5 linked regions of the Ovis aries genome follow. The protein of the gene in region 1 purifies or fractionates together with the protein of each later gene. This does not show direct contact. Links are inferred from orthologs where the notes say so. Each region holds a gene or a part of one and is shown in the gene's direction. Other genes may lie near its edges.

Region 1 (5,557 bases):
ACAGGGAGGCCTGGCGTGCTGCGATTCATGGGGTCGCAAAGAGTCGGACACAACTGAGCGACTGAACTGAACTGATTATAGGATATATCCAAGGACTTCATGGGAATATAAATAAATTAAAACTTTTTGTTTTGGAAGATGATCACGTTCTTTTGTTTTCAGTTCAGTTCCAGGCCTCCCTGTCCATCACCAACTCCCGGAGTTCACTCAGATTCACACCCATCGAGTCAGTGATGCCATCCAGCCATCTCATCCTCGGTCGTCCCCTTCTCTTCCTGCCCCCAATCCCTCCCAGCATCAGAGTCTTCTCCAATGAGTCAACTCTTCGCATGAGGTGGCCAAAGTACTGGAGTTTCAGCTTCAGCATCATTCCTTCCAAAGAAATCCCAGGGTTGATCTCCTTCAGAATGGACTGGTTGGATCTCCTTGCAGTCCAAGGGACTCTCAAGAGTCTTCTTCAACACCACAGTTCAAAAGCATCAATTCTTCGGCGCTCAGCCTTCTTCGCAGTCCAACTCTCACATCCATATATGACTACTGGAAAAACCATAGCCTTGACTAGACGGGCCTTAGTTGGCAAAGTAATGTCTCTGCTTTTGAATATGCTATCTAGGTTGATCACAACTTTTCTTCCAAGGAGGAAGTGTCTTTGAATTTCATGGCTGTAGTCACCGTCTGCAGTGATTTTGGAGCCCCCCAAAATAAAGTCTGACACAGTTTCTACTGTTTCCCCATCTATTTCCCATGAAGTGATGGGATCGGATGCCATGATCTTCGTTTTCTGAATGTTGAGCTTTAAGCCAACTTTTTCACTCTCCTCTTTCACTTTTATCAAGAGGCTTTTAGTTCCTCTTCGCTTTCTGCCATAAGGGTTGTGTCATCTGCATATCTGAGGTGATTGATATTTTCCCGGCAATCTTGATTCCAGCTTGTGGGTAAGATAAACTATTATTGCTCACAGTTGGTAATCCATACTGTGATGATCTATATGATTTATTAAATTATGCTTGGAATGAACATATTACCATATTTGTGCTGACCATGTTAGTCTGTCTACTAAGAGAGTTCAAAAAAACGCCATAGTTGCGACGATAACACTTTGTTGAATTTAGAACCCAAAGAGACTATTGGTTATTATGTATTATTAAGAAGCACGCCTGTGGTTTTAGGTCTTTGCAATAAAATAAAAGCAGTATGTGTATTATATTTCCTGCCGTAAGATCAGACTACACAACCCTGAACGTTCCCAGCTTTTCTCAGCTATGCTTATGGGAGCTAACTGGAGCTTGAATAGAGATGATTTGTTCCTCAGCCTGGATTCTCTCTGTGCCTGTTGGCTCAGGTGGGATAAATACTGTTGAGAGTCCATAAGGTAGTCGCTGAATTACAGTTAAGTAACAAAGCGTTATCATACTATGACTTGCTCTTCAACATTCTCAAGAGAAATTCCGGTTCTCTAAACGAGTTAGCCCGCACTCGACACAGAAAATGGCAGAAGCCTAGTCTACTCCGACTCCATGGCTTATGATCTGGGTTCGTTTATTTACGCCTTGGACAGGAGCCGGACCGGGAGTTGGAGCGAAGCTGCTTCTCGACGCTCGACTGCGGTTCCCTGAACGATTGCTTGGGCGCTCCTCCTTTGAGGTCTGGGGCGTTCGTCTATTCGGTGATCTCCTGCGCCGTCTTCTCGCTTGATGTCTCCCGAGCGGCGGCGGCGGCGGCGGCGGCGCCGGGTCGAAGGCTGTCTCGTCCGCGAGGCCCCCGCGCTCAGGCTGCTTTCTCCCGCCGGTCGGCGGAGCGGACCCCTCGCTTCCTTCTTGCCTCTCCTTCTAGTGCGCGGCTCAGTCCACCCGTTGGGCTGCAAACCGAGCCCCCGCCCGCCTCGCAGGTAGGCCCAGGAGGAGCCTGGGAGGCCCCGGCCCGGCATCCTTCCGCTGCCGGGTTCGGAAGACCTTGGCGCCGGCGGGTGGGTGGGCGGGAGGGCCGGTCGGCCGCGGAGACTCGGGCAGAGGAGGAGCTACACGGCGGCGGCGTTCGGGGGCGCGGTCGGAGAGGCGGCGGGCAGCGGAGGGAGAAGCCGGAAGGAAGGAGGGATGCTGGTTTTGCCGCCTGGAGTGGCCCGGGAGGGAGGGTTCGTTGGGTCCGGGGAGGGTGTCGGTACCCCCAGTGTTTGGGGGAAGCCGCTTTCCAGGAACGGATAGAGCTTTGCGCGCTTTGGCCTCCCGACCCCCAAAGGCTCCGGGTGTCACGACTCAGTTGTACTGGGGGACACTCTCCAAGTCCGGCCTTCGAAGGGACCCTTGACTAGGTGGAGGCTTGAGGCCGCAGGGCCCTCCGGTTCCTCTGAGCCAAGTGTCACGTTCTCGCCTTTTTTGGGGTAGGGAAACTGAGGTTCATCTGGGACGTGACTTTCCCCGTATCCAGCACAGATCTTTAAATGCACCGTGAGTTCATTTTTTCGTTGTTTACCAGTTCAGTGTGTCCCTCCCGCCCCCCCCCCCCATACTTAACCCGTCATTTTATCCACATAGTGATTTGTCGTTTGATCGTCTCTCTAGTCCCTCCTTCCGAGGAATATAGGTAAATTCCGTCCCTGGAGACTTCAGAAGTAAAGGGAACACGCAGTCTTGCGGCTGCTTTTGCTTTGAAAGTCTGTATCATTTTAGCGGGAGGAGTCATGACAATTTCTTTTTGTTTCTTGATATAAAATTTTGTTTGCTGTCTGGTTTACTTTCGCGTTGATACTTTCTGTCTCCTTCCTCAGCCTGTTTCTCACTGGAAGTCTTTCAACTGTGGTGTTAAGTACTTAATGTCCTGAAGAGGATGGTCAAGATTTTGAAGTCAGATATTTGTCCTGAGAGACTGCTTTCTAGGAAGAATCCAAATAAAACCTAAGGAGTCGCTTTTGTGCCGGTGTTGTGTATTGCATTAGTGACTTAGTTACTGCATATACTAGAGTTTAAAAGGCTATGTGTAGAAATCATTCAAATATTGACATATTTAAATCGAAAGTTTAAATATGGGAACTCCATTATCTTTTCCTTTTCTCTCCTAGCCCGGAAACTTTGGAGACTAAATGTTCTTCCTCGTTTTATTTTCATTGGATTTAGTGGCATGATTCTAATTTGTGTAATTTCTTTGTTGAAAAAAATAATCAACCTAGAGGTCATTCTAGGTTGAATAAGTATTTCCATAGTACAAATTTAGAATCAGTAGGAGTTGGGTTTTCTTAAGGGAGAAGAGACTAAATTTGTAGTCCTTGGAGTGAGACTGTACAAGTCTATGTACTTTAACAAATTTAGACTTCTCACATGACTTTTGGAAGGATTATTGTTTTTTCCTTGTATTATCATTATCATCATCATTTTAGTGAGGTCAGCAGGATTTAAATGTAGGGCCCTTGATCTTGAGTGATTTCCTAATTGCCAGATCCTGAGTGCTCCCTGGAATAGATTAATGAAGAGTCACTAGACTGTCTTTATGGAGAATCTATATTGGGAAGTTAGGCTAATGTGTGTTCTCTGAAAAAGTTTCTATGACAGAAGAGAATTTAATATCAGAGAAAAGAATTTAGAGGGCTTCCCCAGTTCGATCCCTGATCTGGGAAGAACGTCTGGAGAAGTAAATGGCAAACCACTCCCATACTCTTGCCTGGGAAATCCCATGGACTGAGGAGCCTGGTAGGCTACAGTCTATGGGGTTGCAAAAGAGACACAATTTGCTGAACAATGACAATGAAGAATTTAGAGAAGGGAGGGACATATTCCCCTGGAGATTGATAGGTTCTGCATAGAATTTAGAGTTAGTGGCTCCTGATGAATGCTAAATAAGAAATGAAATTCGCTGTAAGTGTCAGGAAGAAATTTTGGGGTATTTTGTTATGCTTCCATGGAAAATAATTAGCAGAGGTTTAAGTTGAGTTGAAGAGGACCAGGAATTTGGTTGTCGTGGAAAGGGGTAGAGCTTCTTATCAGCTTCCCCCCCTGCTTTGTGGTAGACGTTCACTCAACCTTTACCTTTCTCGGTTAAATCTTGTGTTCTGCTAATGTCAGGTCAAGCTCTCTTCTGGCCTTTCTTTTCAGAATTTACAAATTCCGAATGTGGCTGAATTATTCTGTCTTCTCTTTTAGTAAGAAAGTTCTTGGGGATTGTTAAAGATGTGAACTTCTTTGAATGTCTTTTAGAACTTATCCTGAAAGAAGTTATGTATACCACTTGAAAAAGACTAGTTATATATATATCACTTGAAAGCAGTTGGTTATTTTTATTAACAGAATAATAGCTTAGTTTTATACTGTATAATTTTCAAAATATTTTCAAGTTGTGTTAGGTTACTTATGAAACTTTTATCCTTTTGATCACACTCCTTTATGCTGCTTATTAATACTGAATCCAAAACAAACATTTATGGTCTTCAAGGACCTTCATGAATGTTGACAATTTACATTGGTGGTTTAATCTCACTCTTCTCATTTATCTAACTCTTAAAAGACTTGGAAGAAACAGTTTGTTGTTCGTACACTGCGTTCTCTTTTTTAAAGATACTTCTCAGCCCTGATCAAGTTATTTTGGAATGGGATGCAAATCTTTTTGCCCAGTGGTTTGGTTTACCAAAAAAAAAAAAAAACCTAAGGTTTTTTAAGTTCCTTTAATCATAGTCATGCTTGTTTCTTTCTCCAATTGTTCCTCATAAACCCAGAGAGAACTTTCTGTTTCTTGTCATATTTTTTTGTTTGTACGGAAGTGCTGTGGTACCACCTCTGCTGCGGCTTGGGGATATAATTGATGTTTTGTATTTTCAAACCCCTCCTTCCCCCAAGTTAATTAGATCAGGTTTTTTGGGTCCCTTTTTCTCAAAGCTAAAATTAGTTACTGATAGATAAAAATTTTGTGATCAGTTATTGTCAATATATTTATGTGTCAGTAGTATGCGGCAGTGGAGAAGGAAATGGCAGCCCACTCCAGTGTTCTTGCCTGGAGAATCCCAGGGACGGGGGAGCCGGGTGGGCTGCCGTCTTTGGGGTCGCACAGAGTCGGACACGACTGAAGCGACTTAGCAGCAGCAGCAGCAGTATGCGGCAGTCTGCCAAAGCAATGTGGCTGGAAGAAAACAGATTAAGGAATCAGGCGGCCTGGGTTTAAGTCCTGGGTTTACCATGTTGCTAGCTGAGAAATCTTGTACAGACTATTTAAGGAGGCCATAGGGAAGGTTACTTTCCTTTATTGAGCATTACTGTGTCGTGTTCTTTGCAAGTGTTAATCTCGTTTAATGCTCAGAACAGTCCTTGAAGGTACATGTTATTTTCCCCATGGATACTCAGATCACAGAGAAGTAGATGATATGTTCCAGATCACACAGCACATGTGTAGCAGAGGCAGGACTCAAATTCAAGGCTTTGAGCGCTTTTATGTGTCTGTATTGAAAGAATGGGAAAGATAATGCTGCTATTGTAATAACTTCTGTTGATAAAAAGAAGATACACGAAGCTGCTTTGAAAAGATAAGGTGCTCTTCCAATGTTAACTTCTGTGCAGTCTTGCAGCAACAGTGACTTGAT
Region 2 (5,684 bases), on another chromosome or scaffold:
GAAATCAACGAGAACTTCCTTGCCAGAAAAACATGAAGAAATCCCAGGAAACTAATAAAGGAAAAAGAAAAGAGGATAGCCTGACTACCTCTCAGAGGAAGCAGCGGGACTCTGAGATCATGCAACAAAAGCAGAAGGCAGCCAATGATAAGAAGTCTATGCAAACAAGAGAGAAATAATGACTATCTGGAAACCAGGGTGCTGCTGCAAACTAAGTGTATCATAAGCTCTATGATCAAGATTTTGTAGAGTGAACAGTCAGTACATGTTATATCCGTACAAAACTATTTTAAACTTTTCCTTTCAACCTGACTTAGCGTGATGTTTCAGAACCATTTCAAAGAATAAAACACTAACCATGCATATGAAAATAAATAAATAAAAATAAAAACAGCCAGGAATATTTACGAAGCTTTGGTTCCAGACACTTCCTGGCACTGGAGACTCAGCACTGACAGGACCCAGTCCCTGACTTTACGGTGATTCCAGGCTAGGAGCGGAGGAGACATTTAACATGAAAACCAAGGAACAATTTCAGATTTCAGTGGTGGGTGTCCTTGAGAAAACGGTAAAATGAGAGGCTTGAAGGGCTGGACTGAGAAGACGTCTGCAGGGAGGTGAACTTTGGCTCCCGGTGCTCACCTCGCTTTGCAGGGTCCTTTATGATTGAGGACGCAGATAGTACTGGAGCTCCCACCTGCATTCTGCTCGCAAAGAGTTGGATATGACTGAGCATGCACACACAGCTGGTAGAACAGGGCGGGTGACTATTTTTATTTCCAGAAGGAAGCGGGTGTCGGGCTGGGGAAAATTAGGCAACTCACACCGCCCAGAGACACCTGGCAGGAACTCATTCCTGGCCCTGTGAGATAGGGGCGGGCATATTTGCATCTGCTAGTGAAGGGGCTAATAGATGGGGAAACAATGGAAACAGTGAGAGACTTTATTTTCTTGGTCTCTAAAGATCACTACAAATGGTGACGGCAGCCATGAAATTAAAAGACGCTTGCTCCTTGGAAAAAAAGCTATGACCAACCTAGACAGCACATTAAAAAGCAGACACATTACTTTGCCAACAAAGGTCCATCTATTCAAAACTATGGTTTTTCCAATAGTCATGTATGGATGTGAGAGTTGGACCATAAAGTTGAGCACAGAAGAACTGATGCTTTTGAACTGTGGTGTTGGAGAAAACTCGAGACTCCCTTGGACTGCAAGATCAAACCAGTCAATCCTAAAAAAAATCAGTCCTGAATATTCACCGGAAGGACTGATACTGAAGCTCAAGCTCCAATACTTTGGCCACCTGATGCGAAGAACTGACCACTGGAAAAGACCCTGATGCTGGGAAAGATTGAAGGCAGGAGGAGATGGGGACAACGGAGAATGAGATGGTTGGATGGCATCAACCACTCGTTGGGACGTGAGTTAGAGCAAGCTTTGGGAGTTGGTGATGGACAGGGAAAGCTGGCGTGCTGCAGTGAGGTCACACAGAGTGGGACACGAATGAGAGGCTGAACTGAACTGTGACGGGGTGGTGTCTTCCCCAGATCCGCCCCTTCCTACAGTAGCGCGTCGTAACCTATTGACCCAGACAGGAGGCGGGCCGCAAGGCCTGCCTGGCTGCAGGAAGCAATAAAACCTGGGTCGCTATTGGTGCCCGCGGAGGGTGGGCGGGGCCTCCGCCGCCCGGGGCGCGCGCCGCTGAGAAGCGTTGCCCAGGATGGGGCAGGGCCGCGCGCAGGAGGCCGTTGGCGGCGCGGCCCCGCCCCGGATGTCGCGCGTCGCAGCCTGGACGACGGGGATTGGCCAAAGCCGCGTGAGGGGCGGGGCGGAAGGTTCTGGAGGGGGCTGGCGGGCTCTGGAAGCTTCCGCCGGACGGGTATATAGAGTCCGGGACGGGGCGGTGGCGGAGCCGGGGGACGGCGACAGCTGGGTGGCGGGCCGCAGGCGGGGGCAATGGGAAAGGACTATTACCAGACGCTGGGCCTGGCCCGCGGTGCGTCGGACGAGGAGATCAAGAGGGCCTACCGCCGTCAGGCGCTGCGTTACCACCCGGACAAGAACAAGGAGCCCGGCGCTGAGGAGAAGTTCAAGGAGATCGCCGAGGCCTACGACGTGCTCAGCGACCCGCGCAAGCGCGAGATCTTCGACCGCTACGGGGAGGAAGGTGCGTGCGCGCGCGCAGCCGGGGGCGCGCCCTCGCCGTTTGACAGGCGGAGAAACCGAGGCAGGGTGGCCTCGCTGCAGCATCTCCGGGGGGTGCTCGGCCGCAGGGGTTGAAGCAGCCCCGGCCCTCTGGCCACAAGGGCCTCCGCCCTCGGATTGGCGGCCGCCCGATGGGAGGAGGGGCCCTGGCCGCGCTGCTTGTTCAGAAGCTTCTAGTATGTCTGGGGCTGCCCCTCCCTGGGCTCTCGCCTCCACCCACGTCCGGGGGTGCGGGTGCAGAAAGAGAGGGTTCGGAGACCTAGCTTGGCTGCTGGCGCTGCGGGCCTGGGCTCACCTGTGCGAGGTGGGAGGCTCTGCCACCCCGGGGTTCAGGGCAGGACCTCTGGCTGAGCCCTGGGCACAGGCTGCGAGTAGTGAGCCTGCAAATGAGGTGCCAATTGGCGCCGAGCGACCTCCCGCGCCTCCGAGGGTGGAGTGAGGTAATCCTTGTAAAGTGCTTACCTAGTCGGCCGTCAAGGTGCAGGGAACAGTGGGGCCAGCCCTCTTCAGGGAAAAAGAAAGCTTTCTTGTCCCGTCTCCCATTGATGACTCAGGCAGGTTGCTGGGCTTGGTCCTCAGGAAGAAGTGGCTAATTACATGAGAATGGGGGCAGTTAGTGCCAGGGTGTGAGAATTTGAAAGTCTGCATTTGCAGTTTCACGTTCCTTTTACTACTCTCCACACGTCTCTAGCTGTAGGGAATTTAAGAGTAAGCATTTAGTGAAAACTGATCCGGGGTAAGCATTTTTCATTGGATCTCTTAGTTTTCCGTACTCATTGTAACAGTGCAAGGGAAATGAGTTACTCAGATGTGAGGACCTGGGTGGCCCCAAGAGATGCCCATCTGAAACCTTGAACACTTCACCATTGTCTTGCCACAGTGGACTAACTGCCATAAGTGGGTGGGGGTTCTGTTTTGCTGCTGCAAGTGGGAGGTAAAAGCTTGGAGTTCTTCCTTGTTCTTCCCTGACAGGCTAAAAAAAATTCCTCCCCCAATGGCTCCTAAGCTTTTTTCCTTGAAGGAAAGTTCCTGGAGAGTTAAGTTCCTAGCTCGCCATCTGATTTCTTCTGCTTTGGCGTTTCAGGCCTGAAGGGCAGTGGTCCCAGCGGCGGGAGCAGCGGTGGTACTAACGGTACCTCCTTCAGTTACACATTCCATGGAGACCCTCATGCCATGTTTGCTGAGTTCTTCGGTGGCCGAAATCCCTTTGACAACTTTTTTGGGCAGCGCAACGGGGAGGAAGGCATGGACATCGATGACCCGTTCTCTGGCTTCCCCATGGGCATGGGTGGCTTCACCAACATGAACTTTGGCCGCTCCCGCCCTGCCCAAGAGCCCACCCGAAAGAAACAAGATCCCCCCGTCACCCATGACCTTAGGGTCTCACTTGAAGAGATCTACAGCGGCTGTACCAAGAAAATGAAAATCTCTCATAAGCGGCTGAACCCCGACGGAAAGAGCATTCGCAATGAAGACAAAATCTTGACCATCGAAGTGAAGCGGGGGTGGAAAGAAGGGACCAAAATCACCTTCCCCAAGGAAGGAGACCAGACTTCAAACAACATTCCAGCCGATATTGTCTTTGTTTTAAAGGACAAGCCACACAATATCTTTAAGAGAGATGGCTCTGATGTCATTTATCCAGCCAGGATCAGCCTTCGGGAGGTAAGGCACTAGGCAGGGCAGCATCTGGGGAGAGAGAAGCTGCTTTGTGATGCTGTTCAGTGTTTGCTTGACAGATGTTTCTGGGCACTTGGTGCGGCCAGGCTTGGACAGTGCAATGGCGACAAGACTGTCCAGGGCTCTGTTTTTCCAGAGCTTCTGTGCTGGTGACGTGGGTAGATCTTAAGGCAGGGTCTTAGCTGCAGAGGTCTGATGGTGCTTACCCTCCAGTCAGCAGCCTCTGGGCAAGATGTGAGCTCCTTAAGCTACTCTTTCTAATGCTGTCCCTTTGCTTTCCAAGGCTCTGTGTGGCTGTACAGTGAATGTCCCCACTCTGGACGGCAGGACCATACCCGTTGTGTTCAAAGATGTCATCAGGCCTGGCATGCGGCGAAAAGTTCCCGGAGAAGGCCTCCCTCTCCCGAAAACGCCCGAGAAACGCGGGGACCTCATTATTGAGTTTGAAGTGATCTTCCCTGAAAGGATTCCCCAGACGTCAAGAACCGTTCTTGAGCAGGTTCTTCCGATATAGTCAATCCGTGTTCCCCAAGGACTGACCAGGGACCTTTCCAGAGCTCAAGGATTTCCTGACCGTTCCACCAGCTGTGGACCCGTGAGAGGGCGGGAGGGCCCAGGGAGGGCTTTCATACTGCTGAATGTTTTCCAGAGAATATATTACAATCTTTCAAAGTCGTGCACTAGACTAAAGTTGTTTTTCGAGCGGTAGGGCGGCAGGTGGTGGGGACAGCAGGCAAAGGCAGTGCAGTCTGCCCCACTGGGTCCTTGCAGCCCTCCTGGGTGGGCAGCACCCCCCTCCTCCCTCTCCAGGCCCTGCCCAGGGGGAGAGGCAGACCGCGGACCCACAGCTGGACTTGATCCCCCTATTGTAGTCCCTCCGCTTGCAGACATCCTGGGGTGTGGACCTGCGTTTATGGGTACCAGACCCTGTACACTCCTGAGTTTCTATTGTGTGATCAGTTCGTGTTTTATTCTGTATTTGTCTCCCCCATCTTGCCCTTCCCCTAAGAAACCCCGTCTTCTCTTTTGCCATCTCAAATTGAGAATCTCAACTCTGGTTGTTGAACTGCCTGGCCAGCTCCCACAAGCAATACCTCCCTTGTTCCAGCAGGACCAAGGGAGCCGGCCTTCACTGAGTGAGTAACTTGTGCAGCTGCCTCTCCCTCAAGGGTGGGGGACCTTGGCTGGAGTCTTGACCCCAGGCTCCCAGACAGAGATCTTCACCTTCCTTTGCTGTGAGGCAATCTATTGGCACACCTGGGATTTCCCCGTGACCCAGGTCATTTTTTTTGTTCAATGGACTCTGGACTCTCTCAAAAGGATCTGATCCTTTTGAATTTTGCACAGCCCTAGCTATAATCCCTTTTGATAAAAGGGTCTTTGCTTCTGATTACAGGAGCACTGTGGAACGCCTGTAAATATGTTTTTATAATTCTGTGTAAAGTTGGTGTGCAGTCAGACGAAACCGGTCCACAGCAGCTGCTGCTCTCTGTAAAGGGCCATGATGGAACTGAGAAAGAACCTGGTGGGGGTGGGGGGCGGGGGGGTGTTGGAACAAGTGTTTGTTCCTTGCAGGTCAGTCTGGTGCTCAGACTTTTAGACTCATTGTAAGTTGCCACTGCCAACACAAGACCAAAGCGTGTGACTTGTCAATGTGCAGCGTGACAGCATTAAAGACTGATGCTAAACCTCAGGGGAGCGGTCCTGCGACTCTGTTTAAGGGTTCTGCTGATGGGATGGGGTGGGGTCGGGGCAGCCCTCCAGAGGCAGCCAGGGTGGGTGGGAGGGAGGGGCAG
Region 3 (5,821 bases), on another chromosome or scaffold:
CATCTGCAGTGATTTTCGAGCCCCCAAAATAAAAGTCTGACACTGTTTCCACTGTTTCCTCATCTATTTCCCATGAAATGATGGGACCAGATGCCGTGATCTGAATGTTTTCTGAATGTTTCTGAATATTTTCTGAATGTTGAGCTTTTAAGCCAACTTTTCCACTCTCCTCTTTCACTTTCATCAAGAGGCTTTTTAGTTCCTCTTCACTTTCTGCCATAAGGGCGGTGTCATCTGCATATTTGAGGTTAGTGATATTTCTCCCGGCAATCTTGATTCCAGCTTGTGCTTCTTCTAGCCCAGCGTTTCTCATGATGTACTCTGCATATAAGTTAAATAAGCAGGGTGATAATATACAGCCTTGATGTACCCCTTTTCCTATTTGGAACCAGTCTGTTGTCCCATGTCCAGTTCTAACTGATACAGGTTTTTCAAGAAGCAGGTCAGGTGGTCTGGTATTCCCATCTCTTTCAGAATTTTCCACAGTTTATTGTGATCCACACAGTCAAAGGGTTTGGCATAGTCAATAAAGCAGAAATAGATGTTTTTCTGGAACTCTCTTGCTTTTTCGATGATCCAGCAGATGTTGGCAATTTGATCTCTGGTTCCTCTTATAATTATGAAACCAGCTTGCTTCATAATTTGAACGTAATTTAGACACATGGAGGAGAGTGGATGTTACATAAAGTAACGGGGAATATTATCAAGAGTAAATGTTTCTGACAATGATGCTTGCTTGTTTGCTTTTATTTGTCTTTCATTTTACTGATAGGTTTTTTTTTTCTTTTAAAAAGTTTTTATTGTGATGGCTTTTTATACCTGAATAACTGCTTTTGTCAAAGAAATGATGAATGACCGTGTTTATTTTAAAAAGGATATATAGGTAATGTACTGACGGCGTCTGGTTTGTGGTATCATTGACTGTCTTAAATAAAAATTCCTCCCTTAAAGAGTTTGTTTTTGGATGCTTGGTATCCTACCAGCCCAATCCTTTCTTCCGACTCCTGACCATTTGGCCACTCAGACCTCTCCCAAGAACAAGGTGCAAGGACTCTCCTGGACTTACTTGGGCAGGGTAACCAGAAACCCAGTAGCATAGCCTTCAACTGAAAGAGCTTTCTTTTTTTCCATCAATTTTTTTTCTTTTAAATTTCTTTTAAACCATTTATTCTTTCACTCACAAAGTATTTATTGAGTACTTAACATTTGTCAGCGACTATTCTAAGCACTTGAAATACATCAGTGAGCAAAAGGAAGCCCTCACCTCCGCAGTGGGGCACACTTGGGGGGGGTTGCTGAGATGAGGAAGGAAAACAGCCGCCCGAAAGAGCTGAGGAGCGGTGGGGGTGAGGCGGGGGCGGGGCTTGCTCTTCGTACTAGAGTGGTCGGGGTCCTTAGAGAACTTGAGCAAAGGCCTGAAGGTAGGGAGTGAGCTTATCCAGACATGCACAGCAAGGCTAGTGCAGGCAGCAGGCGACGAGAGTCCTCTGAGGCCTCTTCTGAAGGCCTTGGCTTTTACTCATTTCACAAGTGAGCCGCTGAAGGTTTCTGAGGAGTCATTTGCTGTGCCTTATTCTGGATCACTGCAGCTGCTGAGCTGAGCACAGACAGTGGTGCAAACAGCACCAGACCAGATGGGAGGGCAAGGCTGGGATGCTGGCCCAGTGGGGAGTGAAGACGGGCCTGGGTATTCTCTGGAGTTGGAGTCCACTGAGTCTGAGGTGTGAGAGAGTCTAGCACATTCACAAAACGTCTAGGATTCCACGTTTGTCATGATACAATAAAACGTCTAATGAGGCCAGATGACCCCCTACAGCAGTTGTGAATTAGTATTTAAGAGTTCAGAGGAACTGGGATCTAGCCTTAGGGGCCTCATCTCTGTTCAAGTACCTCGACTTTGATCTCAGATTAAAGGTTGGGCTCCAGCCTTGAACTGTTATTATCCCCTTCCCGGTGCCCTGTGCATCCCCTCCGTGTACTGCTGGGCAGAACGCCTAGTGTGCTCTGGCCCCGCCACCCCTCTACTACTCCCTGACCTGCACGGTGGCCGAGCGGCCTCCATGGTCTTCTCATAACAGGAGGTTTATACAAATGGGGTTAGAAACGGCCTTAAATAACAATCATTTCACTCGAATTCCAACCAATAACTTAAACAGAGAAGTCATTACAAATGCTTTCATGCGAGTGGGTGTGAAAACGATGAGGTTCACCTTGACCCCTACACGCAGCTGGACAGGGCGGCTTTTTGTCTTCTGCTCTGTTGGCGTCCAGACTCCAGTTCTCACCTCGGGAAGGTGCCCGGGAACCACGGCTACGCAAAGGACCCCTTCCTCGCGGCGGATGGCCCCGGAGCGGGGAGAGGGCGGGGCTGGTGCGAGCCCGCCCCGGGGCGTGATCGGGGGCGGGGCGCCGCGGGCCAGCCTGGGTGAGGGCGTGGCTCACGCGAGCCCCGCCCCGGCTATGCTTGGGGGCGGGGCCTCCGTGGGGCGGGGCGAGGGCGTGGTTGGCGCGGGCCTCGCCCCGGGGCGTGCTCGGGGCGGGGCCGGGCCTGGCGCCACGCGGAGCCGCCCCGCCGCGCCGCCCCCGAGGCAGCTCGCGCGGTCGGAGTCCGGCCGCCAAGCCCTCGCGCCCTTATCTGGGTGCCCTGGCCCCCGACTTCGGGTTTGCGGGCAGCGCATCCGAGTAGACGGTTGGCGCGTGGGGACGGCGGTGACCTCGGGCCGCCCGCCCGGCGCAGATGGCTCAGGCGAGGATCAGCGCCAAGGCCAACGAGGGCCGCTTCTGTCGCTCCTCGTCCATGGCCGATCGCTCCAGCCGCCTGCTCGAGAGCCTGGACCAGCTGGAGCTCAGGTGCGCGGGGCGGGGGCCGCGCGGGGACGGAGCTGCGGGCGAGGACCGGGGGGCGAGGGCGGAGCGGAGGGCAGCGCGGCGCTGGGTCGGCGCGGCGGCCCCCCACCCTTCGGCGGCCCCGAGCGCCGGGACCGCGCGACCCCGAACAGAGGAGGTAGGGGGGACGTGACTCGAGACGACGGCCGTGCCGCCGCGGAGCTTCCAGAACCTTCCGCGGGGGGCCAGGTGTTTCCGGCCCACTCCCCGCCGCGAGCGGTTTTAGGACCGGGGCCGGTTAGTGGTTTCTGTGCTGAGCGACCGAGCCCTTTGCAAAACGGAAAAATCCGTCTGGCCTCAGGCCCGAGAGCAGCGGACAGGTGTCTCCCCAAGCCGCGCTCGGCCTCACCGGGGCGCCGTCCCACCTTCCCGGCCGCCAGGGCCCGAGCCGCAGCGCTCCCTCCCGGTCGGGGTGTCCCTGCGGTCGGCGTGTCCCCTCCCGGTCGGGGTGTCCACGGCGGTCAGCGCGCAGAGGGAAGCCCTGGCGGCGAGGGTCGGGCTGAGGTCAGCGAGGATGTGACTTTGGAGCAGGGCCCGGGGTCAGGCGCGCAGAGGTTACCACCGGTCAGGAGGAGCTGCTGTCTCCCTTAAAGCTTTTAGTGCTTTTCTGAATTTGAGAAGATTTAGGAATCTGAGTTCCTGAAAACCGGAGAGCCTGTTTTGCCAGTTTTCCCAGAGCACAGAGTGCCTCACCCCGGCTCTTTCCCTGAATTCTTTCCAGGCTGTGCTGCTGTCAGTTTCTATAGAAACCGGTGTGGGGACCCTGCTTAGTGACAAATGTAGTCACCGGCTTGTATAGGATTCCTAAATAATGTGTAAGAAATTTGGGAAATAATCTTTTCTCTAACAGTGAATGAAGACTTCTGTGTACTTCCCATAACTTCTTATTGTCATTGAAGGTCCGGTAAATTGTGTGCAGGTGTAATTACAGGCAGATCTTACCAAGGCGTCCAAAACTCCCTAAAACCACAGGTAATTTTTCCCATAGTTACCAGACTCTGAGTGAGCAAAGGAATACATGTAAGACACAATTTTAAGAAGGGCTGCATATGTGTCTTTATCTCAAAACAGGACAAGGGGTCTGTTTGCCAGTAAAGTACATTAATAACCAAATGAGGCACTTATTATCATTTATTAATATTTATGTTGACTTTCATCATTTATTGTATAGTTCTTTTTATTATTACAGAAAGAAACAATGTCTTCTCAGAAAATGAGACGCTCACCACCACGATTTCACGGAGAGTGACAATGGTCCTTCTCCAGCTGAAGCAGGTGGAACAGGCAGAGCAGTTCCTGTGGACGATTTTATGTAGCAGCGTTAACAAGTGACTGAGCGTCTCTGGTCTCAAGAACTTTGAGGGCATGTTCTCAGCCATTTCAGGGGGGCTCTTCCCTAGTTGGAAAGAAAGGATGTTTTCTTCTCAGCTCGGGCAGGACACAGTTCCTTTCTTGAAGCTGAGTTATTGTTCTAAGACTTGAATTGATGCCTCACATAGGGCAGGTGCTCATCTTTAAAAGGAAGTTTCTTGTTTGAAATATTACGTTCTAGGGCTTCCTTAATGTGAAATGAATTCTGATTACCGTGTACAAGTGGTTAATCACTTGCTGAATTAACCCTTGAGCTGAGACTGATAAATGTGTGTTCAGTTGTTCATTTTAAGGACTTTTCTAGTTTTAGACTGATGAGCTTTGTTTCTTTCTTTTAAAAAAAAGTGATGCTGACAAAATTAAGTCTTTTGGAAGGTTAAGTAAAAAATAGAGAAGTTTATGAAGGCAGATGGGTCATGGAAGAGAGCACTGAGCTGTTAGAAACTAGAATCAGGCCCAGAAGATCAAGTTTAAAAAGAAAACAAGACATTCATGTGTTAACTGTCATTTACTTTCATGTTACGAGTGGCTAATAAAGCAGTGTTGCAGGCACACTGAAAATCACAGACTGTACCAGGAGGTCTGTGTTTACTGTCCCTCTGTTGTGCTAGTCTCAGCAAAAACTTTCTCCGCATGAAATCGAAAATAGAATTATGCTCAGTGCTTCATGACCTGCCATGTGAACTGGTGTCCATGGTGTTTAAAGTTTTTCAAATGTTTGACCGCATCTCACAAATCGCTGAAGAAACTCCAGTTGTTTCTAATGCGTTAGCACGAAACTAGATCTCCTTTTTTGCTTCCTCCTAAAAAGGTGATGTCTCTCTCTACGGGTTTTCGTGACCGTGCAAATGGCCTCTGACTTTTCCATTTGTCAGTGGCTCTGAGCACTTTGCTCACGATTGTTACTAGTTTAGCAGTGATCATATAATTCATAAATGATACCCTCCAACAGGTATCTTAGCTAACCAGCATGACTACAGGTCCTGTGTCTTTGTGGAAATTATGTCACCCTCATTGTCCAGGCGGGAAATTGAGGCTTGAGAAGTTAAAAGAGCTCAGGAGTGGCTGCAGAGCTTAATGCTTTACGCCTGAGTTTTCTGAGTTACTATGTCATATTTCAAAGTGTAGGAATAGTATATGATTTTACTGAAAGAAGTGAAAATTCCACTTAGATCCGGGTTTAGATCAGGGGCTGTTGAATGCCATCTCTGCAGGGTGTGAGTGGCCCTGAAGCTCCGGCTGGTGGTGAAGATGCTTGGCCACGAGGTGTGGAGAGCAGCCCAGGGGACGGATGGGACGGGGAGCTGGCTGCTCACAAGTGTCCGCAGAGCAGCCTCCTGGGCACCGGGCCACCAAGGAACAAGGGAGGGAGCAGGGACCTGGGTCCTTTAGCTGAGTTTCCTGCTGGGCTGACCCGACCCCCGGAGCCAGAAGACAGCACCTCAGTTAATACTGTCAGAGCCTGTAATTTAAAAGGTCACTTCTCATAGACGGTATCATATGAACCTTCCAAAACCCTCCAAGGCAGGAGGACATCCATTGCCTCCTTTAGCAGCAGTAAAGG
Region 4 (5,720 bases), on another chromosome or scaffold:
AGCACCTACTGAACACAATTGTGACGTTTAATTAAAATATGCAAAGCTTTCAGAACAGTGCATGCAAATGCTTGAGAAATGTTAACTACAAGTATAAATGTCAATGAAATTCAGACTATAAGCAAATATTGATACATATAACATGTAGCCGTGGTTCTCTTAACTTGTGAACTTATTAGACTTGAACCCAAGGATCCTGATGTTTTAAGGGAGCCCAGCCTGGCGCTCTATGATAATCTAGAGGGGTGGGAAACAGAGAGGGGAGGGAGGGGAGGGAGGCAATATATGAATAATTATGGCTGGTTCCCACGGATGGAGGAGCCTGGTAGGCTACAGTCCATGGGGTCGCGAAGAGTCGGACATGACTGAGCGACTTCACTTCCACGGCTGGTTCACGTTGTTGTATGGCAGAAACCAACAAAACACTGTAAAGCAATTTTCCTCCAATTAAAAAATAAATTAAAATTTAAAAAAGAATCCTGATGATTAATCTTAACAAAACCGGGGGAAAAACAACTAGACAAATGGAGAATATAAGTAAATATCCTGACGCCCAGACCAGCCACATGAGACTCTCCGGGGGAGGGTCCCGGTACTTTTTACCCTTCCAGATGGTTCCAAACATGCAGGCAAAGGCGTAAAACAATGATAGAGACAGCAAAGACAAAGAATAAGCAGGTATGGCACAGCTGGGGAGCATGTGATCTGACAGCTGAGCTCAAGTTGGATTTGGAAGGAAAAGTGGTGCTTGACGCTGAGTTCTCTACTGTTTCTCTACGAAAACTGGTAGTCAGAGAATTCCCTGGCAGCCCAATGGTTAAGACTCTACATTTTCACTACTGAGGGCCCAGGTTTAATCCCTGTCCAGGTAACGGATATCTCACAAGATGTGCTGTGCAGCCAAAAAATAATAATAATGATAATTTTTTAAAAAGCTGGTAGTCTGGGGCTTTCCTGGTGGCTCAGTGCCAAAGAATCCTGCCAATGCAGGCAACATGGGTTCCATCCCTGCTGTGGGAAGATCCCACGTGCCGTGGAACAAGTAAGCCCGTGGGCCACAACCACTGAGCCTGTGCTCTGGAAGCCACGCTCCGCAACAAGAGAAGCCTCAGGAATGAGAAGCCCCGTCACCTAGAGAGTATCCCCCACTCGCTGCAACTAGAGAAAAGCCTACACTGTAACAAGACCCGCACAGACAATAAATAAACAAAATTTAAAAACAAAACAAAAAAATCCAGGGACTTCCCTGGTGGTCCAGTGACTAAGAATCCACCTTGCAATGTAGGGAACACAGGTTCAATCCCTGGTCAGGGAACTAAAACCCCACATGCCGTGGAGCAACTAAGCCACTAGGACCTGATGCAGTCAGATAAATTAATCAACTAATTAACAAACAAACTGGTAGCTAGAGATGAGAGGTAAATAAATCTTGTAGATCCTAAAAGCAGACCTCCCTAACTCAAGTGAAGAACAAAGAATTAATTAAAAAATACACAGAATGAAGTAGAAATACAGGATTAAAATATATCTCTTTAGATTAAAAAAAAAAAAAAGATTTACAGCCTGTGACTTCTAAGAAGACCTCATATTTAAAATCAACAGTCTCTCTGGCCTGCAGGAACTGAATTACCTAGAGAACTAGCCGTGTGCTCAGGAAGCATAGAAAGATGAGGCCAAACACACAGGAATTACACATTTCCCTGAGGAAAGAACTGTTCTTTAATGTCCCAGCCAATACCTCGCATAATGGGGAACACAGCCCAAGAAAAACACAAGTCATAAGGCTAGAACTGGGAAGGTGTGACTCATGGGTCAGCTGCTTCCCTTTCAGCATCATCGCCTTCACAGGTGGAGGCAGTCTCACAGGTGTGCACCGGCTTGTCACCCGGCCGGCAAAACCTAAGACGGAGCTCGTCTCAAGGAGCAGACCCACGGTAAGACTTACTTCAACAAAAGGTTGGGGGTCAGTGGAGAAACCTGTGTGGGCGCTCTTCTTTTTTCCAGTGCTTGTTCACAAACTAAGCTGGGCTAAGGCCCCGTCCTGCGGGCAGCTGTCTGCCCTTCCGGAGCATTTTCAGATACCTGTTGAGTATCTTTCTGTCCAAAGAGTGGGATGCTGAGTGCATTTTATGTTCTAGGAATAGAAGTCAAGGGCTGTGGCCACTCAATCGGGGAACTGAACCAGAGGCTTGGGATCCCAGTGACCAGCTGCCCTGCTAACAGGCAGGCATGCTTTGGAATTAACAGGCTCTTTTTAGTCCTTCTTTAAGGATGGTTTAAAGGATGCTTTCCAGCCTCCCTCCTTAGCCTGTTGGCAAACGAAGTGTTAGTATTTAGATTTAACTTGGCTTAAACTTTCTATCTGCAGCCCATTCCAAGCCGTTAGCCCATATTTTCATATGACAGCTGGAATGAAGGTCTAGGGCTCCCTCAAACTAAAACATCCTTCCCCAGAGCGGGGCAACTTCTAAAAACTGCTTGCCACTCCTTGCCGCTGCAGGTCTTCATCTTTGGGGACCTCTGGTTAGGAACAGGGATGTATGCACACACCGTTTCCAAACTAGAACTGTTCAACGTGTTGAATGAGCCTACGAAATGCGATAGTAAAGTCTGCCACCACTTGAAGAAAAGCACTAATAGTCTACATGCAGCCAAACGCGCTGGCGCGCACATTCTGTGCATATCAAGAGCTCTTTGACCATAGAGACTAATTATCCTCGACGAGAAATTCGGCACAAATCAACTTGCTCGCGGACTCTGCCCCTACTTGTCAAGAGCCCTGGGGTGGCGGCGACGCAGGAGCCTCGGAGGCTCGGGACTGCCCCACTCTCCCCGCCGCCTGTGTCCGCGCGGCGGGGCGCCGGGGGCCCGGCCCGCGCCGGCTCAGGGACCCCGCTCCTGGGGAGCTCCGCCGACGCGGGGGACGCCACCACAGGTGTCCCTGGGGGGCGCGGCCCGGCCTCTCCAGGGACCTCACTCACCCGGCTCGGCGCCGCATCCCTGCGCTCGGCGCCGCGCTCGGGGGCGAGCTGACAGCCGCGGCCTGAGAAGGCGCGGCAGAGAGCCGTGACGACGAGCCTCCTCGCCGGCCGCCGGGCCGCCATAGCTGCCCTCCGCCGACTCCCGCGCCGCACGGCAGAGTCGCGACGTCGCGAGGCGCTACCTTACGGCACCGTCGCAAAGTCCGCGGGAGGGCACGGCGCGGCGGACCGTGCGCTCGCCCGGCGTCTGACAGGCTGAGGGGTTGGACTGACGGCGCGTCAGGGCCGCGGCTCCTCGGGAGCTGCCATCCTCGGCGGCTTCTGCGCCGGGCGGCCAGCGGCGGGCTCGGCCAGGGGAGAAGTGCGGCGCGGACGCCGGAGGACGTTTTTCCCGAGGCGGGGGGGCGGGTGTTCGGCCGGGCCCGGGGCGACGGCGGGAGCTGCGGAGTCGCAGGGCGTCGGCGGCGAGGCGCGCCATGGCGCGGGCGGCACAGGTGAGCGCGGGCGGCCGCGGCGCGACCCTCTCCCTCCGCGCGGGCGGTCCCGGACGATCCCCGTCTCCCGGGTCCGGAGCCGGCCGGGCCCGAGTCCCCTCCCTCCCCGTCGGCTCGCCCGGCCCGGCCGAGCGCGCCCGCCCCCTCCCCCGCAGGCCATTGTGAGGTCAGGCCGGCGGGTGCGTCGTGGGGTCCGGGCGAGACGCCCGGAGCGGCCGCCGCGGCCAGTAGCTGCCGCCGCCACCGCCGGCCCCTTCACCGGCTGCCCCGACCAGACCTAGCCGGGAGGGCTGAGAGGGATGCAGCTTGGGGCCCGGCGCCGGTGCCGCACCCCGTAAAGGGCTGACCTACCACCTGGCCACTTCACCCGCGGGACGCCAAGACCAAGCCCGCTTAGACCGCGTCTGGGTAAAGTGCCGGGAGGGCAGGGCGAGGGGGCAGGAAAGAACCGAGGCAGCCCGCCGCTCCGGGCCTCTCCGGAGGCGCGTTCTTGGCTCGGACACCGGCAGGGGATTAGTTTCGATTGAGCATCCATCCCCCGCCCGTGAGCGTTTGAAAGAAACCCAAGAACGTGGGCGGGGGGTGGGGCGGGGGGAATGCATTAAGCCACTCGAGCCTTAATGGGAGGCTGATGAATGAGTTAGTCATCGTTGTCGCATTGTCTTGCGGTGTGTTTTGGAGGGGGGAGCATAACAGGGCCTAGGGGGTACCAGGCCTCCAAAGCCCAAGCTAGTGCCTTTATCATAATGCCAGGCGCCTTCCCTGTGGAATTCAAGCCTCTGCAAGGAAGTTTATGAGGTCCACAAAGGGTGTGGCGAGAAACAGGGCGTCTTTCTGGAAGTGTCTAACGGGTGGAGAGGCACGTAGAAACGGGGACTTCCGCGAGTGCCCGCGAACCCCATTGTTTGTTTCAGTGGCTCAGTTCCTTTTACGGGAAGCTAGGCCGGGTGGGTGGAGGAGGAGATGGCAACCCACTCCAGTGTTCTTGCCTGGAGAATCCCAGGGATAGGGGAGCCTGGTGGGCTGCCCTCTCTGGGGTCGCACAGAGTCGGACACGACTGAAGCGACTTAGCAGCAGCAGCAGCAGGCCGGGTGGGAGTGCTTAGATGCCCCCCAAAGGCCCGGAAGGTTATAAGAGCTACTGGTTTACTTTCCACAAAGGTGCCCTTCTCTTGCCAAGAAGCAGCTTCCACTGTGAAGACCTAAGGTGCTGGTGCTTTTTCCAAGCTGACAGCTCAACCTCATGCCATACTTACGTAGGCACACGCTGCTCTCTTTTACAACTGAGGAAAACTGAGGTTCCCAGGCCCAGCACTCCAGCTTCCCTTCCACACTGCAATGACCCAGTCTCAGTCACTGCCATATGGAGGTTGCTTGCGGGAGAGGGGTTGATAGACTCTGCTTTCTGTCCTGAAGTGTGGTCTTTGGCTTGCAGTGACAACAGGCCCTTTCGTAAGCATATCTTTTTAGAATGAGGTACTAATACACAAGTACCATTCTTCAGGCTTTGTGGTGTAACAAGTTATTTTTGTCATCTTTTAGTGCTTGTGAAACTGAACACAACAAAAGTATGGAGATGGGAAACCAACACCCTTCTATTAGCAGGCTTCAGGAAATTCAAAAGGAGGTGAAAAGCATAGAACAGCAAGTACTTGGTTTCAGTGGTCTGTCAGATGACAAGAATTACAAGAAACTGGAGAGGATTCTCACCAAACAGCTTTTCGAAATAGACTCTGTAGATACTGAAGGAAAAGGAGATATTCAGCAAGCCAGGAAGAGGGCGGCACAAGAGACAGAGCGTCTTCTCAAAGAGTTGGAGCAGAATGCGAACCACCCACACCGGCTCGAAATACAGAACATTTTTGAAGAAGCACAGGCCCTGGTGAAAGAGAAGGTTGTGCCGTTTTATAGTGGAGGCAACTGTGTAACTGATGAGTTTGAGGAAGGCATCCAGGATGTCATTTTGAGGCTGACACATGTCAAGACCGGAGGTAAGGTCTCCCTGCGGAAAGCACGGTATCACACCTTAACCAAAATATGTGCCGTGCAGGAGATTATCGAGAACTGCACGAAGAGGCAGCCTTCCCTGCCGCTCTCTGAGGACGCGCACCCCTCTGTGGCCAAGATCAACTCTGTGATGTGTGAAGTGAACAAGACTAGAGGCACACTGATTGCCCTTCTGATGGGCGTGAACAACAAGGAGACATGCAGGCACTTATCTTGTGTGCTCTCGGGGCTGATGGCT
Region 5 (5,697 bases), on another chromosome or scaffold:
GTCAAAGTAAACAATAAATAAGACATCAATTTTAAAGATAAACATTGTGAAGAAAATAAGGAGTGATGTGATCTGGAGGGAGAACTGTGTTACTTTGGATCAGATTGGATGTGAAAAAGAGGTTTGCTTAAATATAAGCACAGTATAAGCAGACCATCATTAAGTCTGGTACACTAATAGAAAAAATGGATCCAAATCAAGACAGACAAAAGTCCCTCCTATTCAGACCCAATGTGCAATGTTACACAGAGTGTAGGATATCATACTTTAAAAGGAACACTGATGAACTCTTAGAGAGGTCAGAGGAACGTGAGCTCATTAGCTCCCATACCCCTCACCCCATTCTACTCATTCTCTTCCTCCTATGTTTGCTGTCACTATCCACCTACTTAAAAACCTAGATGCAAGTCTCTCGGACTCCGATTTGCTTCACCATCCATATCCCAACTGATCACAAAGTTCTAAATGTTTCTTGGATGGATTTCTTAAATCTGGCCCCCCTCTCCATTCACACTGATAGCACCTGAGTGCCTGTCTCTAGGCCTCCTGTCTTTATCTTCCATGTTGTCATCAGTCCTTTGTAAAGTATAGTTTTGGTCTTTTGCAAGGTGACCTTACTATTTATTATCTGTGCTGGGCACATGAACAAAGAAGACTCATTAATTACGCTGTGGGGAAAAGTATTATTGGGCCCCCCCCCCCCCCCCCAGCAAATCAGGACATACAGACACACACATCATGTACTCCTCTGCTTAAAAATGTCTAGTATTTTCCATTGCCCACAGGAAATATCAAGTTCTATATAAATAAATATTTGAGGCCTTGTCTTCTGCTTCTATCCCACAAATACCATGATCTCCATCCACATGATCTTCTCTTAGCCCCCAAATATCCTGCCCTCTGAAAGAGATCCCAGGCCTTGTGTGGGCTTTGACTCCCAGCTCCCCTCAATAGTTATGTAACATACAGTAGGTTACTTAACCCCCTATCTCAGCTCCTTTTGCAGAATGGGAATACTGTGAGGATTAAATGGAATGACACATGGAAAGAAAACCTTTAGCATAGTGCCAGGAACATAATAAATATAATGAATGTTAGCTGTTATCTCTGTAGGTCAATAATTCCCATAACTTTACGACTAAAAAGTTACCTTAGCGATGTAAAGTTGCTCAAGGCACATAACTGATGGAACACGCTTTTCCACTGTATTGCAGTTCTCTTAGTGACTTCAGGGCTCTGCAGATTCCCCACCTCCGATTACAGTATCTGGCACTTAGGGCATGAAGAATGTTGCATGAGATCATCAGGTGGTCAGAGATTTGGAAATACACTTGGAAGAAGAATGTGAAATCTGGAAAGGGAGGAGTGAGTGTCAGGAGGGTTGACTTCAAATATTCTCTAAGATGTATGGAAGACAGGGACCCAGGGTAGTTCTGGAAGAAATAACTGGGCCCACTAACAGATGACAGGAGGCAAGAATTTTCCGCTGGGAGAGGGAAGGGAGGTGAGGTAAACGCGAGACCTAAGAAACATAGTTCAGTCCCTGGGTTTGGGAAGATACCTACTCCAGTATTCTCGCCTGGAGAATCCATGGACAGAGGAGCCAGGCAGGCTACAGTCCATGGGGTCACAAAGAATCGGACACCACTGCCACTTAACACGCACGCAAAGATATCTTTGCTGTAACAATTCTCTAAAACAAACAGCGCTGTGCTACGCTAGGAAGGGCTGCTTCCCCCAGTGACTGCCCTTGAGATAGGCCTGGCGCCAAGATGAGACTGGACGACCTCTGGACCTCAAAACTGTCTGGGCACCGGGCTAGGAATCAGGGGAGGGGTCTATAGACCCGAGGAGGACGCCCTTGCCCCTGCGGGAGCCATCTGGTCCCATTCGGTCTCCACCAGGCGCCGCCAACCCCTGCCCGAGGCTTCGTTTTCCCAGCCTGCATGGAGGGAAAGAAATCTTGCCCCGGGGCTTAAAGGAACACCCGGCAAAGGAGGAAACCCCCTGGGCCGGAAGCACTCAGAACTGCTTCCGGGCCAAGGGGGAAGGAGTCGCCATGGAGCCTCGCGGGGTGGCAGGGCTGACGGGGCCGCGGGGCTGACGGGGCCGCGGGCCGGCGTCTGAAGCGGGAGAGGCGCAGCGCCGCCAGCGCCACCGGGGACATTCAGGCCGGTCCCGTCCCCGCCGCCGCCATGTCGGTGCTGGGCGAGTACGAGCGACACTGCGACTCCCTCATTTCGGACTTTGGGAGCGAGTCCGGGGGTGGCGGGGACTCGGGCCCGGGGCCCAGCGCCGGTCCGGTGCAGCGAGCCGGCGGCGGCGCGGCGGAGCAGGAGGAGCTGCACTACATCCCCATCCGTGTGTTGGGCCGCGGCGCCTTCGGGGAGGCCACGCTGTACCGCCGCACCGAGGTAGCGGCCCCGCTCTCCCCCGCCTCGTCCTCGCTCAGCGATCGGGTCCCTCAGGGGTGTCTGTCTTGGGGTCCTCACCGCTCCTGTACTAGGAGTTCGCAACAGCACTGGTTTTTCTAACCGGTCGTTTTTGTTTACCATGGGGACTGAGCAAGGCATTGAACCTTCTCTGAGCCTTAGTTTTCCCGTCTGTAAGTTGGAGTTAGAAATAGCAACGTACCTTAAAAGTAATATTATTTAAGATTATTTTGATCATCGAAAAGGTCATTGGTAAGATTGTAGCGTGTGGGCTTCTTCATCAGTGATGATCCAGCAGCGTTTATGCCTGGGAAATACTTTTTTTTTTTTTGGTATATTTTAAACCATTCGTTCTTAACTTCAGGAGGGATAAAGGACCTCTTTGAGAACTTAACGTAAAGGTACCTTCCCGCCTATCCATTATTGCACACATACAAATCCTTTGAAGAGATTCTTTGATGGTGGCTCAGAGGTTAAAGCGTCTGCCTGCAATGCGGGAGATCTGGGCTCGATCCCTGGGTCAGGAAGATCCCCTGGAGAAGGAAATGGCAACCCACTCCAGTATTCTTGCCTGGAGAATCCCATGGACGGAGGAGCTTGGTGGGCTACAGTCCACAGAGTCGCAAAGAGTCAGACACAACTGAGCGACTTCACTTTCACTGATTAAAACCCTAGAGTGGGGAGTCTACTTCCAAAATTGATCATAAACTTTCATCACTAAAGTCTTAAAACTCTGCTTTCAGAATAGTTAATCAGTGTGGGGTTGCTGAAGATGAGATTCTATCAGTGATCTGTCTGCAGGTCTGTTGTGTGTTCCAAGTACTTTTAAGTCTAAAAGATGGATGAGGAGAGAGGTGGTTGCAAGATTAATGTATTATGAGTTACTGTTAGTGTTCTCATGAGAATGAGGAGATGTGCTTTGGTATTCCTATTTTTATAGTTGAAGAAACTAAGGTAGTATATTTAAGTGACTCGCTCACTTAAATTAGAAGCAAATCCTGGGCTGGAATGGAGGGTCACATCTGCTTGTCCATGCCTTTCCATGATTATTGCGTTGAACTTGATTGCCAAGGTTGTTTCAAGTTAAGTTTGATTACACTTTCCCCAAAATTGCATAGCATTATCCATAACATCAAATGTTTATTATTTTTGAGTTTACCACGGTCTAATTAGAAGCAAATTTTTCCCTCAAGAAGCATATATTTCAGTGGCAAGACATGTTAGTTTTGTTAGTAACAAATAGTGTTTAAGTTGTATGTGTATATAAGTGTAAAAGAATGGACATTTATTTCAGTGGAAGGAAATTAAGGGAGTGCACAGTAGAAGGTTCATTGATCTTTTGCTGAAGTTTCAAAGGCCCAGCACAGCAATCCTAAAGGACAGGGAGGGTTATTTAGGTGGGGATGCTTCTGAGCTGGGGAACAACATCAGTAAATTAGAGATGTTATAAAATGGAGTGAATATTAGGAGCTGCAGATAAGTCTTCATGAATAGAAGAAAACATGTGATAACATAAAATTGCAGGAGAAACAGAGTCACAGAACGTGACAGAGTAAGGAAAGTGAACTCAGAGCCCTTCAGTTCAGTTCAGTCGCTCAGTCGTGTCCAACTCTTTGCGACCCCATGAATCACAGCACGCCAGGCCTCCCTGTCCACCAATTTCCGGAGTTCACTCAAACTCATGTCCATCGAGTCAGAGCCGTTAGACATGACTTATTCTTATCTATAAAGAATAAATGAAAACCACTAGAGAAATCTGTATAAAGTTAGAGGCAATTTTAACATGTCTATTTTACAAGAAATATCAGCCATAGATAACCACTCTCCAGTTCTCTTGTTTTTCCAATAGTCGAACCATACTACAATCCTCATCATGACTAGCAGTCTTTCATAATGTCCCTCAATAGAAACCCTGAGATCTACCTCCATGCCATATTTTTTACCTGGAATTGACATTAGGTAAATTAAGTGTAAAAACAACATTTTAATGCTTTCCCTAGACCTGCAGTAAATTTTGATGCTCAATTGTATGCAGAATTTTTAAAGTCTTCATGTTTTATTTAAAGGAGAAAAAGGAGTCAGTTTCTGCCCATCTAGGAAGTTTTCTTTCTAGGCTCAGAGATCCGGGTGTAGATTCATTCTCTGCCAGGCTCGAGGAAAGCACGATACCTCTGTTGCTGTGTTATAGGATGACTCATTGGTCGTGTGGAAGGAAGTTGATTTGACCCGACTCTCTGAGAAGGAACGTCGTGATGCCTTGAATGAGATTGTTATTCTGGCACTGCTGCAGCATGACAACATTATTGCCTACTACAATCACTTCATGGATAATACCACCTTGCTGATTGAGCTGGAATATTGTAATGGTAAGGTAGAGTTCAGTGGGACTTCCTCCAGCAAGACATTCCTTTGCTTATACTTACCTTGAGGGGGAGAGAAAAATAAGATCCATATTGACAAAGAACAAGAACTTTAAATGGACTGCTAGAGTTTAAGAGAAGTAGTTCAGGCCCTGAAAAGTTTTGAAGTGATCCACAAAATGAGGGGAGGGATTTTTCCCCCTGCATGCTCAAATTTTGCTTTGTGATGATAATTCCATCTTCAAATTATTTGTTCAGTTGAATTTTACACTCATTTTTCAAGCTTTTTTCCCTTATGAAATGACAGGCATTAGAAGCATAGCATGGTTTGACACTTGATAGTGAAATCTTGTAGGTGATATTTATTTATAATGATTTTAGCTAAAGCTGTCCTACTGAAAAGTGGTCTAAAGACCATAGCTGACTGAAAATGATTTCTTTGAACCCTTTTGCTTGTTTTAAAAAAAAAGCCATATAGCCTATTTGTTAAAAAATAGACCCTGAACCCATATCCTAAGCTTTACTACTTTTTAATCTCTGTAATCTTGCACAGACTACTTCTCTGTGCCTCAGCCTCCTCATCTTAAGTAAGTTTGCTAATAGGCAGTACTTACCTCCTAGGGTTATTGTATTAAATGAATCTATAAAGCCCCATCAACTTTAACATTTCTATTTTACGGGAAAGTGTACTATTTTACAGTAGTTCTTGATATGTAGCAAATTTTTGATAGATTTTGTACTAACTTATTATTACCTAAGAGAATGCCCAAAGCCCATTCTTGAGCTAAATGCTAAAATGGTCCAAGCATATTCTTCATTTAAATCTCTAAGAGAGAGCTCCTAGATTTGTCATTTATTTGCTAGATTCTTGTGTATCGTGATTGTTTTCAACCCTAAATGTATGA

Evidence for each region.
Region 2: the proteins of AMBRA1 (region 1) and DNAJB1 purify together in Homo sapiens (affinity purification with mass spectrometry, with the first as the bait; 3 studies listed by BioGRID). This does not show direct contact. The link is inferred for Ovis aries from reciprocal best matches to the Homo sapiens genes AMBRA1 and DNAJB1.
Region 3: the proteins of AMBRA1 (region 1) and BAG2 purify together in Homo sapiens (affinity purification with mass spectrometry; 3 studies listed by BioGRID, with this or other methods). This does not show direct contact. The link is inferred for Ovis aries from reciprocal best matches to the Homo sapiens genes AMBRA1 and BAG2.
Region 4: the proteins of AMBRA1 (region 1) and BAG5 purify together in Homo sapiens (affinity purification with mass spectrometry, with the first as the bait; 3 studies listed by BioGRID). This does not show direct contact. The link is inferred for Ovis aries from reciprocal best matches to the Homo sapiens genes AMBRA1 and BAG5.
Region 5: the proteins of AMBRA1 (region 1) and NEK9 purify together in Homo sapiens (affinity purification with mass spectrometry; 3 studies listed by BioGRID and IntAct, with this or other methods). This does not show direct contact. The link is inferred for Ovis aries from reciprocal best matches to the Homo sapiens genes AMBRA1 and NEK9.

The regions. Positions count from the first base shown.
Region 1 is NC_056068.1:75,485,788-75,491,344, reverse strand, and holds the start of AMBRA1 (activating molecule in BECN1-regulated autophagy protein 1), read left to right. Parts: upstream 1-1,681; 5' UTR 1,682-1,888; intron 1,889-2,048; exon of another isoform or gene 2,049-2,444; intron 2,445-5,557. UniProt on the Homo sapiens protein: Substrate-recognition component of a DCX (DDB1-CUL4-X-box) E3 ubiquitin-protein ligase complex involved in cell cycle control and autophagy.
Region 2 is NC_056058.1:9,588,388-9,594,071, forward strand, and holds DNAJB1 (dnaJ homolog subfamily B member 1), read left to right. Parts: upstream 1-1,911; 5' UTR 1,912-1,959; coding exon 1,960-2,170; intron 2,171-3,292; coding exon 3,293-3,873; intron 3,874-4,171; coding exon 4,172-4,402; 3' UTR 4,403-5,581; downstream 5,582-5,684. Other genes in the region: small EDRK-rich factor 1-like, read left to right, coding at 1-179. UniProt on the Homo sapiens protein: Interacts with HSP70 and can stimulate its ATPase activity. Stimulates the association between HSC70 and HIP. Negatively regulates heat shock-induced HSF1 transcriptional activity during the attenuation and recovery phase period of the heat shock response.
Region 3 is NC_056073.1:3,196,579-3,202,399, reverse strand, and holds the start of BAG2 (BAG family molecular chaperone regulator 2), read left to right. Parts: upstream 1-2,585; 5' UTR 2,586-2,737; coding exon 2,738-2,850; intron 2,851-2,852; exon of another isoform or gene 2,853-3,858; intron 3,859-4,075; exon of another isoform or gene 4,076-5,821. UniProt on the Homo sapiens protein: Co-chaperone for HSP70 and HSC70 chaperone proteins. Acts as a nucleotide-exchange factor (NEF) promoting the release of ADP from the HSP70 and HSC70 proteins thereby triggering client/substrate protein release.
Region 4 is NC_056071.1:65,928,049-65,933,768, reverse strand, and holds the start of BAG5 (BAG family molecular chaperone regulator 5), read left to right. Parts: upstream 1-1,844; 5' UTR 1,845-1,934; intron 1,935-2,981; coding exon of another isoform or gene 2,982-3,104; exon of another isoform or gene 3,105-3,137; intron 3,138-3,223; exon of another isoform or gene 3,224-3,883; intron 3,884-5,017; 5' UTR 5,018-5,045; coding exon 5,046-5,720. Other genes in the region: cytochrome c oxidase assembly factor 8, read right to left, coding at 2,982-3,104. UniProt on the Homo sapiens protein: Co-chaperone for HSP/HSP70 proteins. It functions as a nucleotide-exchange factor promoting the release of ADP from HSP70, thereby activating HSP70-mediated protein refolding.
Region 5 is NC_056060.1:84,445,861-84,451,557, reverse strand, and holds the start of NEK9 (serine/threonine-protein kinase Nek9), read left to right. Parts: upstream 1-2,049; 5' UTR 2,050-2,195; coding exon 2,196-2,414; intron 2,415-4,620; coding exon 4,621-4,798; intron 4,799-5,697.